Linked DNA regions of Ovis aries. The protein of the gene in region 1 purifies or fractionates together with the protein of each later gene. This does not show direct contact. Links are inferred from orthologs where the notes say so. Each region holds a gene or a part of one and is shown in the gene's direction. Other genes may lie near its edges.

Evidence for each region. Proteins that work in one complex are often made in the same cells at the same time.
Region 2: the proteins of AGO4 (region 1) and TNRC6A purify together in Homo sapiens (co-immunoprecipitation; 4 studies listed by BioGRID and IntAct, with this or other methods). This does not show direct contact. The link is inferred for Ovis aries from reciprocal best matches to the Homo sapiens genes AGO4 and TNRC6A.

The regions. Positions count from the first base shown.
Region 1 is NC_056054.1:10,763,492-10,768,442, forward strand, and holds part of AGO4 (protein argonaute-4), read left to right. Parts: intron 1-2,577; coding exon 2,578-2,698; intron 2,699-4,951.
Region 2 is NC_056077.1:22,998,547-23,003,497, forward strand, and holds part of TNRC6A (trinucleotide repeat-containing gene 6A protein), read left to right. Parts: coding exon 1-71; intron 72-528; coding exon 529-606; intron 607-867; coding exon 868-1,078; intron 1,079-3,264; exon of another isoform or gene 3,265-4,190; coding exon 4,191-4,322; exon of another isoform or gene 4,323-4,951.

The DNA.
Region 1 (4,951 bases):
CCCAGGGATCGAACCCAGGTCTCCCACATTGCAGGCAGATTCTTTACCAACTGAGCCACCAGGGAAGCCCCCCTTTAAAAAAACACTTATTTTTATTTATTTATTTGGCTGCACCGGGTCGTAATTGTGGCATGTGAGATCTTCATTGCAGCAGGCTCACTCTTAGTTGTGCAAACTCTTAGTTGTGAACGTGGAATCTAGTTCCCTGATCACGGATTGAACCCAGGCCCCCTGCTTTGGGAACGCTAAGTCTTAGCCACTGGACCACCAGGGAAGTCCCGCAGCCATATAGTCTCGTCCAAAACATCCATCACATATTTGGTCCATGTCAAAAGGTCCCTGAAATTTGGTCCTGTTCAAAACGTCTGTGAACATATTCAGCCCATGCCAGATTTTTGTTTCAGACAGAGCTAAATATCAAGGCCCTCTTGGTGTGGACCAAATGTTTCATGGATGTTTTGGACAGGACCAAATGTCCTGCAAGGAGTAGGCTTATTGCATGACAAGCACTGTTCTAAATAGTCTGTGTGTACTTATTCACTTAATATGATGGTTTTTGTGGTGGGTTTTATGATTGTAAAACCCTACAAATGAAGAAATAGATGTGAGAGAGTAAGTAACTTGTCTAAGGTCGCACAACTCTGCCATTTAATTCTTGTGTGACCAGGGGCAACTTACTTGCCATTCTGAATTTTTATTTTTTTCTCTTTGAGAAAAATTATTGCGCTGCTTGTCTCACAGGTTGTTGTGAAGATTAAGTGAGAATAGAGGTGAAAGTATGTTTTCTTACTGTAAAATTTTATGGTTATATTTTAAGAATGTAAGATAAGAAATTGCCTTCTTAGTCTGAAAATATACTATTCTTAAGTCAACTTTTTATAACTGGGAATGTATGAAACTCTATTTCTCCATCAGTTTTTTGCAATTGCATGACTTAGTTTGAAAACATGTGACTTTCCCACGGATTTCATTTGTGATAGTGTTAATGCCTTAGCTTTTTGTGTGTTGTTGTTTAGTTGCTAAGTTGTGTCAGATTCTTAGTGACCACACAGACTGTAGCCTACCAGGCTCCTCTGTCCGTGGGATGTCCCAGGCGAGAATACTGGAGAGGGTTGCCATTTCCTTCTGCAGGGCATCTTCTCCATCCCAGTGATCTAACCTGTGTCTCTTGCATTGGCAGGTGGGTTCTTTACTGCTAAGCCACTAGGGAAGCCCCAGTGCCTTAGCTATTGTGATTTATTTTGACTTTTAAGATACAGTTCACACACATGGGCTCACCAATGTTGGTGAGACATAGCACCTGATTTTTCATTGACTTTAGCATTCCAGAGTCTCACAGATTCAATTCTATCCATCTTAAACAGTAGATTCTAGTTTCCCCACATTTGCATTCATCTTAGATCCTGCAGACAGTGTGATCTGGTGTATATGACAAAACACTGTTCATGTTTGGTTGAGAGAAAGGCTTTCATTCTAAAAAGAAAGGAACTACACTAGTAATGGAATGGGGATATTTTATGCGAGGAGGAGATTTTATGATGCTCCCTTCTTTATACTACTTGGAAGCAGTTTGGCATATAATACGACATTAGAAGGACTCAAGCTGAAGCTCCACTACTTTGGCCACCTGATGCAAAGAGCCAGCTCATTGGAAAAGACCCTGATGCTGGGAATGATTGAGGGCAGGAGGAGAAGGGGACGACAGAGGATGAGATGGTTGGATGGCATCACCGACTCAATGGACATGAGTTTGAGCAAGCTGCAGGAGATAGAAAAGGACAGGGAAGCCTAGTGTGCTGCAGTCATGGGGTCGCAAAGAGTCGGACATGACTGAGTGACTGAACAACAACGGGGCAGAATAATAAATTACTAGCATTAGTCAAAGGAGTTGCCTTAGTCTGTTGACTATGATGCATCTTAGATTTATTGATCCTCAGATGTCTGCCCACTCTCTTTTCCAAAACCAGTGTACTTGCATAAGGATGCATATTTGATAACAAACTTATAATCGTTCAGTTATGAACATGCCAAATTTAGATACCTAAGATAGGCTACTCTTATAAAGTTCTACTTATCATAAGAGAGGATTTTCGAAAGCAAGAATTTGAGAAGGTGCTGCAAATTTTCTTCTCTTTCCTTTTATTCCCTCCTTTTTTGTTGTCATCCTGTGATTGCTTTTGTTCACTTGCTGTTTTGTTTTGTTTTCTTTGAATTACTTGAATCTGTAACTTTAACTCTTGCTTTTTCCAAAGAATTTTGATCCTCATATTCCAGGCAGAACTGGCCTGGGTCATCTTTTTCTTTTTTTGCTCTGAGCCATTTTTAAACTCTTTATTGACTTTGTTACAGTATTGCTGGCATCTTAGCTCCCCAACTAGGAATCGAACCCATACCCTCTGGGTTGGGTTCTCCAGGAACCCAAGTCTCAAGACTTCTCCAGGAAGTCTTAACTGCTGGACTACCAGGGAGGTCCTCCAAGAAGTTTTGACCTGAATTTAGATAATTAAGTTATAGTGACAGTTTCCTGTTCACCACCATTTCTCAGAGCTAACCTCCACTGTCTCCATTACTGTTAAGGGAGGTAGTAGATACAATGGTGCGGCACTTCAAGATGCAAATATTTGGTGATCGGCAGCCTGGCTATGATGGCAAAAGAAACATGTACACAGCACATCCACTGCCAATTGGACGGGATAGGGTAAGTGTTAACAGCAAGAAACATTTATTAAACTTAGGTCATTTAGTAGTAATTACATAGGGCAAAGATGTTTCCCTTTCTAATGATAATTCAATTCTTAAAGCTATTTCTCATGGTGATGATAGATTTGTTATTCTGTACATATTCTCTTGTTTTTAAATTAATCAATAATTGACTGTTAGAATTTAGGTTGATTATTTCCATAAACTGTGGAAAATTCTTCAAGAGATGGGAATACCAGACCACCTGACCTGCCTCCTGAAAAATCTGTATACAGGTCAAGAAGCAACAGTTAGAACCTAGACATAGAATAACAGACTGGTTCCAAATCGGGAAAGGAGTATGTCAAGGCTGTATATTGTCACCCTACTTATTTAACTTATATGCAGAGTACATCATGAGAAACGCTGGGCTGGAAGAAGCACAAGCTGGAATCAAGATTGCTGGGAGAAATATCAATAACCTCAGATTTGCAGATGACACCACCCTTATGGCAGAAAGCGAAGAAGAACTAAAGAGCCTCTTGATGAAAGTGAAAGAGGAGAGTGAAAAAGTTGGCTTAAAGTTCAACATTCAGAAAACGAAGATCATGGCATCCGGTCCCATCACTCTATGGCAAATAGATGGGGAAACAATGGAAACAATGACAGACTTTGTGTTTTTTTGGGCGGCGTTGAGGTGGGGCGGGTAGGGGGGGCTCCAAAATCACTGCAGATGGTGACTGCAGCCATGAAATTAAAAGATGCTTACTCCTTGGAAGAAACATTATGACCAACCTAGACAGCGTATTAAAAAGCAGAGACATAACTTTGCCGACAAAGGTCCATCTAGTCAAAGCTATGGATTTTCCAGTAGTCATGTATGGATGTGAGAGTTGGACTATAAAGAAATCTGAGTGCCGAAGAATTGATGGTTTTGAACTGTGGTCTTGGAGAAGACTCTTGAGAGTCCCTTGGACTGCAAGGAGATCCAACCAGTCCATCCTAAAGGAAATCAGTCCTGGGTATTCATTGGAAAGACTGATGTTGAAGGTGAAACTCCAATACTTTGGCCACCTGATGCGAAGAACCGACTCATTTGAAAAGACCCTGATGCTGGGAAAGATTGAAGGTGGGAGGAGAAGGGGACGACAGAAGGAGATGGTTGGATGGCATCACCGACTTGATGGACATGAGTTTGAATAAGCTCCTGGAACTGCTAATGGACAGGAAAGCCTGGCGTGCTGCAGTCCGTGGGGTCGCAAAGAGTCAGACACGACTGAGTGACTGAACTGAACTAATTTCATCTTTACACATGTTCCAACTTTCTCACAGTGTGAAAGTGCCACCTGAATCTGAACAGTAGAATTTTTATTACTTGTAAAATATTGTGTAACACTCACTTATGAAAATATTTATAATACCACATAAACTTTTAAGACATTTGCTCTTAAAATTTAAAAGCAATACATAATTATATACTCGTTATAAACTTATTCAGACAATCTGGAAATGTTATGGTTTCCTGCTTCCCCACCTGCTCGCATCCTCAATCCCATTTTCATTTTCAAAGGAAACTACTGTCATAGTCCAGTATGTGTCCTTTCGGGTATTTTTATGTGCGTTAGCTATTTATACATGTTTGTTGTTGTTGTTTAGTCGCTAAGAGGTGTCTCACTCTTTTGCTACCGCAAGGGCTGTAGCCCGCCAGGCTCCTCTGTCCGTGGGATTTCCCAGGCAAGAATACTGGAGTAGGTTGCCATTTCCTTCTCCAGGGGATAGTCCCGGCCAGGGATCAGACCTGTGTTTCCTGCATTGCAGGTGGATTCTTTACCACCGAGCCACCAGGGAAGCCCATTTCTGCATGTTTATATATATTATTATTTGTTTGCGTATTGTTCTGTGATTTATTTTTTCATTTTTCACTTAACAATATATCTGGGCGATCTTTCCATCTCTGTACATTTACACCTATCTATCATACTTAAAAAAATTTTTTTATTGTGGTTAAATAATATAGAACATAAAATTTACTATTTTAAGTGTACAATTCAGTGGCATTAAATATATTCATATTGTTATGCAACCATGACCACTATCCACTCTGGTAACCACTCTTCTACTTCCAGTCTTTATGAATTTTTTCTAGGTACCTCATGTAAGAGGAATCATACAATGTTTGTCATTTTACGTCTGGCTATTTCACATAGCATAATGTTTTTAAGGTTCATCTATGTTATAGCATCTACTTTATTTTTAACTATTACATAATATT
Region 2 (4,951 bases), on another chromosome or scaffold:
GCCCTCAGCAGGTAGCCATGCTGAACCAGCTATCCCAACTAAACCAGCTTTCTCAGATCTCCCAGTTACAGGTAAGTGGAATAGAATCACAGCCTTACTCAGCGTACGCTCATTGTCTACTGTGAACTCCACACTAGAGTCTGCGCAGAAAGTGTTTTTCAGTAGGCAGAGTGGGCAGAGTCGTGGCCCTCAGGGAGCTTCTAGTCTCTTAAGTGAAGGCAGATGGTAAACTGGAAGGGCAGGATGTGGTGTGAGCAAGCCCAGCCAAGTCTGGAGTGGCCGTGAGAGTAGGATGATTGGGAAACGTTTACCTGATGAAGTGGAAGTTTGGATTGAGCCAAGGACTGAATTCACCAGAATGGCTGGAGGCCAGCGAGTCCAAACAAGAGATGGCACTGGATGAGGCAGGGCGTGATGCATCAACTCGATGGAGCCATGCCTTTGTAGGTCCCTCTGCCGCAGTCACTCTGCAGCACGCTTGTCTGTGATGATGTGATGCTGACGACCTGTTTGCACTTTTCCTTCCAGCGATTGTTAGCGCAGCAGCAAAGGGCGCAGAGTCAGAGAAGCGTGCCTTCTGGGAACCGGCAGCAGCAAGACCAGCAGGTAGATGTGGTCCTTCCCCTTGCTTTGCTCACACTCAACTTAGATCAATTCCATTGTGACAAGGCAGTTGAAATGCCTTTATTAAAATGTAATGGAAAACACTATTAAGTCTTCTGTCTGCCTGGAAGTCTTATTAACTGGTGGACAGTGATTCTTCACCTTCCTGATGAGGAGGAACTGAATTCAAAAATGAAGGGGGGCTCGAAGATATCCGTAAAGACTTATCTCCCCAATTTTCCCCAATCGTTTTGTCTTTTTAAGGGTCGACCTCTTAGTGTGCAGCAGCAGATGATGCAACAGTCTCGTCAGCTTGATCCAAACCTGTTGGTGAAGCAGCAAACTCCGCCATCTCAGCAGCAGTCACTCCATCAGCCAGCCATGAAGTCTTTCCTCGAAAATGTCATGCCCCACACTACACCTGAGCTGCAAAAAGGGCCGTCACCAATAAATGCTTTCAGCAACTTCCCTATAGGTGGGTTTCTCCTTGGCCAAAGCATTGGGCTGGTGCTTGGTGATCACAAGTTGAGCTCTTGCTTTCTGACCTGTCCAGTTTTTCTCTCGTGAGCGCCACGTGGTTCTTTAGCTGCTCCATCTCTGAGTGGCCACACTTCTTCTAGCATTAGCCTCTCTCCTTACTTCAGGAACGTCTCTCTCTGTTCAAGAAAATTACACATTCCACGAAGCCCATGCCCCGTTGGTGCAGTGGTAAGAATCCACCTGCCAGTGCAGGAGATGCAAGAGACGTGGTTCGATCCCTGGGTCAGGAAGATCCCCTGGAGAAGGAAATGGCAGCCCACTTCGGTATTCTTGCCTGGGGAATCCCACGGACAGAGGAGCCTGGTGGGCTGCAGTCCATGGGGTCAGAGAGAGTCAGATGCTCGTTTGAAATGAGTTAACATTACGTATATTTCTTTTTAAGACTCAGATATCTTCATTATAGGGTATGAAGGGGAGGGGAGGACTGAAATTATTATAGCACACCCGAGAAATTTTGAGCTTTGCTGCTTTGTAGAAATAACTTGGAACAGTCACCTCTGAGATTTTAACTATTGTGTAAACGTTTACAGTAAATTACTGGCATAAATGTAACAGGGATGAGAGAAGAAATTGCTTTTATTGCATTTACATTTGCTTCCCCCCAACCCCTCTCTTATGTCTCCAGGTTTTTCGTTCCCTCTGGGAATTTCAGGTTTATTTGTCTTCTTCCTTAGGTCCCTTTTCTTCTTGTGCCTTTGAATATCTTTTGACCTTTGATCATTCGCACCCTGTTTGTTTTCCTATTTCTTTCTCTTTTGTAAACCAGCTTCTTTGGTTACTAGCCCAACTTTGTTGAAGATGTTCAGTTAACTAGCATGTTCTGGGCTGTGGGCGGAGGTTGGGCCTGCTGTTATCCCTGCTCCCATTTCATGTTGGCTGGACCTGATACATAACTCAGCTCTCCCTGGTTTCGTTATGGACTCAGCTAGGACATCGATGGAACTAATGGCACCCCACTCCAGTACTCTTGCCTGGAAAATCCCATGGACGGAGGAGCCTGGTAGGCTGCTGTCCATGGGGTCGCTGAGTCAGACATGACTGACCGACTTCACTTTCCCTTTTCACTTTCATGCATTGGAGAAGGAAATGGCAACCCACTCCAGTGTTCTTACCTGGCAATCCCTGGTGGGCTGCCGTCTATGGCGTTGCACAGAGTCGGACACCACTGAAGTGATTTAGCAGCAGCAGCAGCAATCTTTTTACATTCCTTTGTCTGTTTGGCGAATACCATAGAGGCCATGTCCTCCCAGAGACAGCAGTATGGTGATGAAAGAATACTCGGGTGTACATTGAGAGGTTTTGGTCTCACTAGTGAAAGGAAGTGACTCTCACTGTGTGATTACATACTGAGCATATAGATTGGGCCACTGAGGAGATAAGTTTCTAAATAAGCACTTTCTATCCTGGCCAGCCTCAGAGCAAGAGACTTTCCCCTGATTAGGAAGCCTGCTTTAACTCAGGCAAGCACCAGTGTGGTTGTCTAACTCAGGCACTGGCAAACTACAGTCCATCAGTCAAATTTGTCTAGCTGCCTGATTTTGTAAATAAAATTTTATTGGAACACAGCCATGCCCTTTTGTTAATGTATTTCTTAGCTGCTTTTGTGCTACAACAGAGTTGCATAAAGACACTCAGACCGTGTGACCCACTGAGTCTAAGAGATTTACTGTCTAAACCTTCACCTGAAAAGCTTTCCGCCTACTGAGTCCAGAGGGCAGTAAATTTAATTACTTTTTCCAAATAGGGGTGATATTAGCGAATTTATATTATTAAAGTTTTAAGTTTGACCTAGTATCACATGGACTCTCCACCAGACCCAGTATCTAAAAACCATTTATTTTGAAACTTTAAAGAACCATTTGGATATATTAAACAAAGATTCTGGCTCTTGCTGAAAAGTTTTCTTTCTTTTTTAAAATTTATTTCCTTTTTTTTTTTTTTTGATGGCATATGGAATGTTAGTGTGGATTTCAGCACTGGAAAGATTTAAGCAGAGAAGTAATAGAACCTCACATACTTTTTAAGAACTCATCTTGACTTACTTTTCATTGTATGCCCATTTATATGCTTTTAATTTCTTACCCTGTGCATATTTCAGCTAAAGAAAACATCTGTCATCAATTCTTTTTTTTTTTTTTTTGACTCACTGCATGACTTGTGGTATCTTAGTTCCCAAACTAGGGATTAAACCTGTGCCCTCTGCAGTAGAAGCAGGGAATTGGAAAGTTTTCATTTTTAACGAGCATCTCAGATATTCTGTAGATGATGGTCCCCAGGATCACACTTCAAGAAACACTGGCTTAATGGTCAGTGACTAAGATAGAAATTTCCGTCTTTGTTCCAAGAGAATATCTAAGGCCGATATGTGTGACAAGCAAATCAAGTTGCGCCTTGCGATATAAGCGTCTTGCCCTTAGGTACAGTCCTGCCCTTACAGCAGGACAGTTTTACTTTTAAATAACAGTATCCTTTGGTGGGTAAGGCAGTTGAAAATTGTTGTTTATAAGCAAAAGTTAGCAAATGAACATGATCATTTGTAATTCTTCATGCATGGTACTGTTGGGAAATTTCTAAAGAGATATATTTTAGTAGCTAAACAATTACTTGGCTGCCTGAGAATTTAGTTTTCCACAGTTAATGCAAGTATAGTACTGACAGTTTTGTGGTTTAAAAATGTATATTATGGAGTATTACCTAGCTCTTCAGAATTTCTTTAGGTTTAAAATTTTATATTATTGAGTGTTAGCTAGCTCTTTAGAATTTCTGTGTATTACTTTCTCTGGTACCCTAGCTAGGCTTTTTCTTCTGACGACGTTTCTGCGTGACCTTGGCCAGGAGCCCAGAGTATCTGTCCTGCCTGCCTTGCCTTTGTCTATAATCATTTGGCTGTGCCACATTTGCAGGATATTTATTAAGGAACATTAGACAGGATTGAAAACACTAGATTAACTGCATATGTTTTTCTAGAAAATGAAAGTTGTGGTACCAGAAGGAGGATGCGCTATATTTTTATAAAGTGGTTTTTAAAAATTTTCATCTATTTTTAGGCTTGAACTCAAACTTGAATGTAAATATGGATATGAACAGTATTAAAGAGCCACAGTCAAGACTGAGGAAGTGGACTACAGTGGACAGCATTTCTGTGAACACATCTTTGGATCAAAACTCCAGCAAACATGGTATAAGATACATTCTTATATTCTGACTTTCTAAAACCTGTCAAATACTAAACTTAGGCCTTATTTTTAAATATATATTTTCATAACTAAATTCTCTTAAGAACCTTTCCTCATTATTAAAAAGTGCTTTATTTATTGAATCTTAGTTAAAATAAAAGACCTTTATTTTGCTATTGTGAGAAACAGAGGTCAGAGTACACATTTATTTTTTCACGTATTCCCTCTTTAGATGGTCGTTTAATTTTTTGCTTTTTTACTGTTTTAATGTTCTACTTACCATTTATTCAGTTCAGTCTGATGTAAGGGATTAAAGATTTGCACCATTAAAAGAAAACAAAACTTGATTTCTGATAGTTTCTTATCCATTCATTTAGTAAATGTTAAGGAAATCTTTTCTGCTTTCCAAGAGCTGTGCTCAGCCACCTGGAATAAATAGATTCGGGTGTACATATGTGCATAGAGTTGAGTGTGCAGGTGAAAAGTACTTGCCCTGAAGGAGCTCATTGTTTGGTAGCAAAAATAAACGTATAAACAACTTGAGTTCGCTGTGACAGGTGCTCTGAGAATTAATACATATAAAAGGATAAACAGTATAAGATTGTAACTCCACTGGAAAAGTGAGTAAGGAG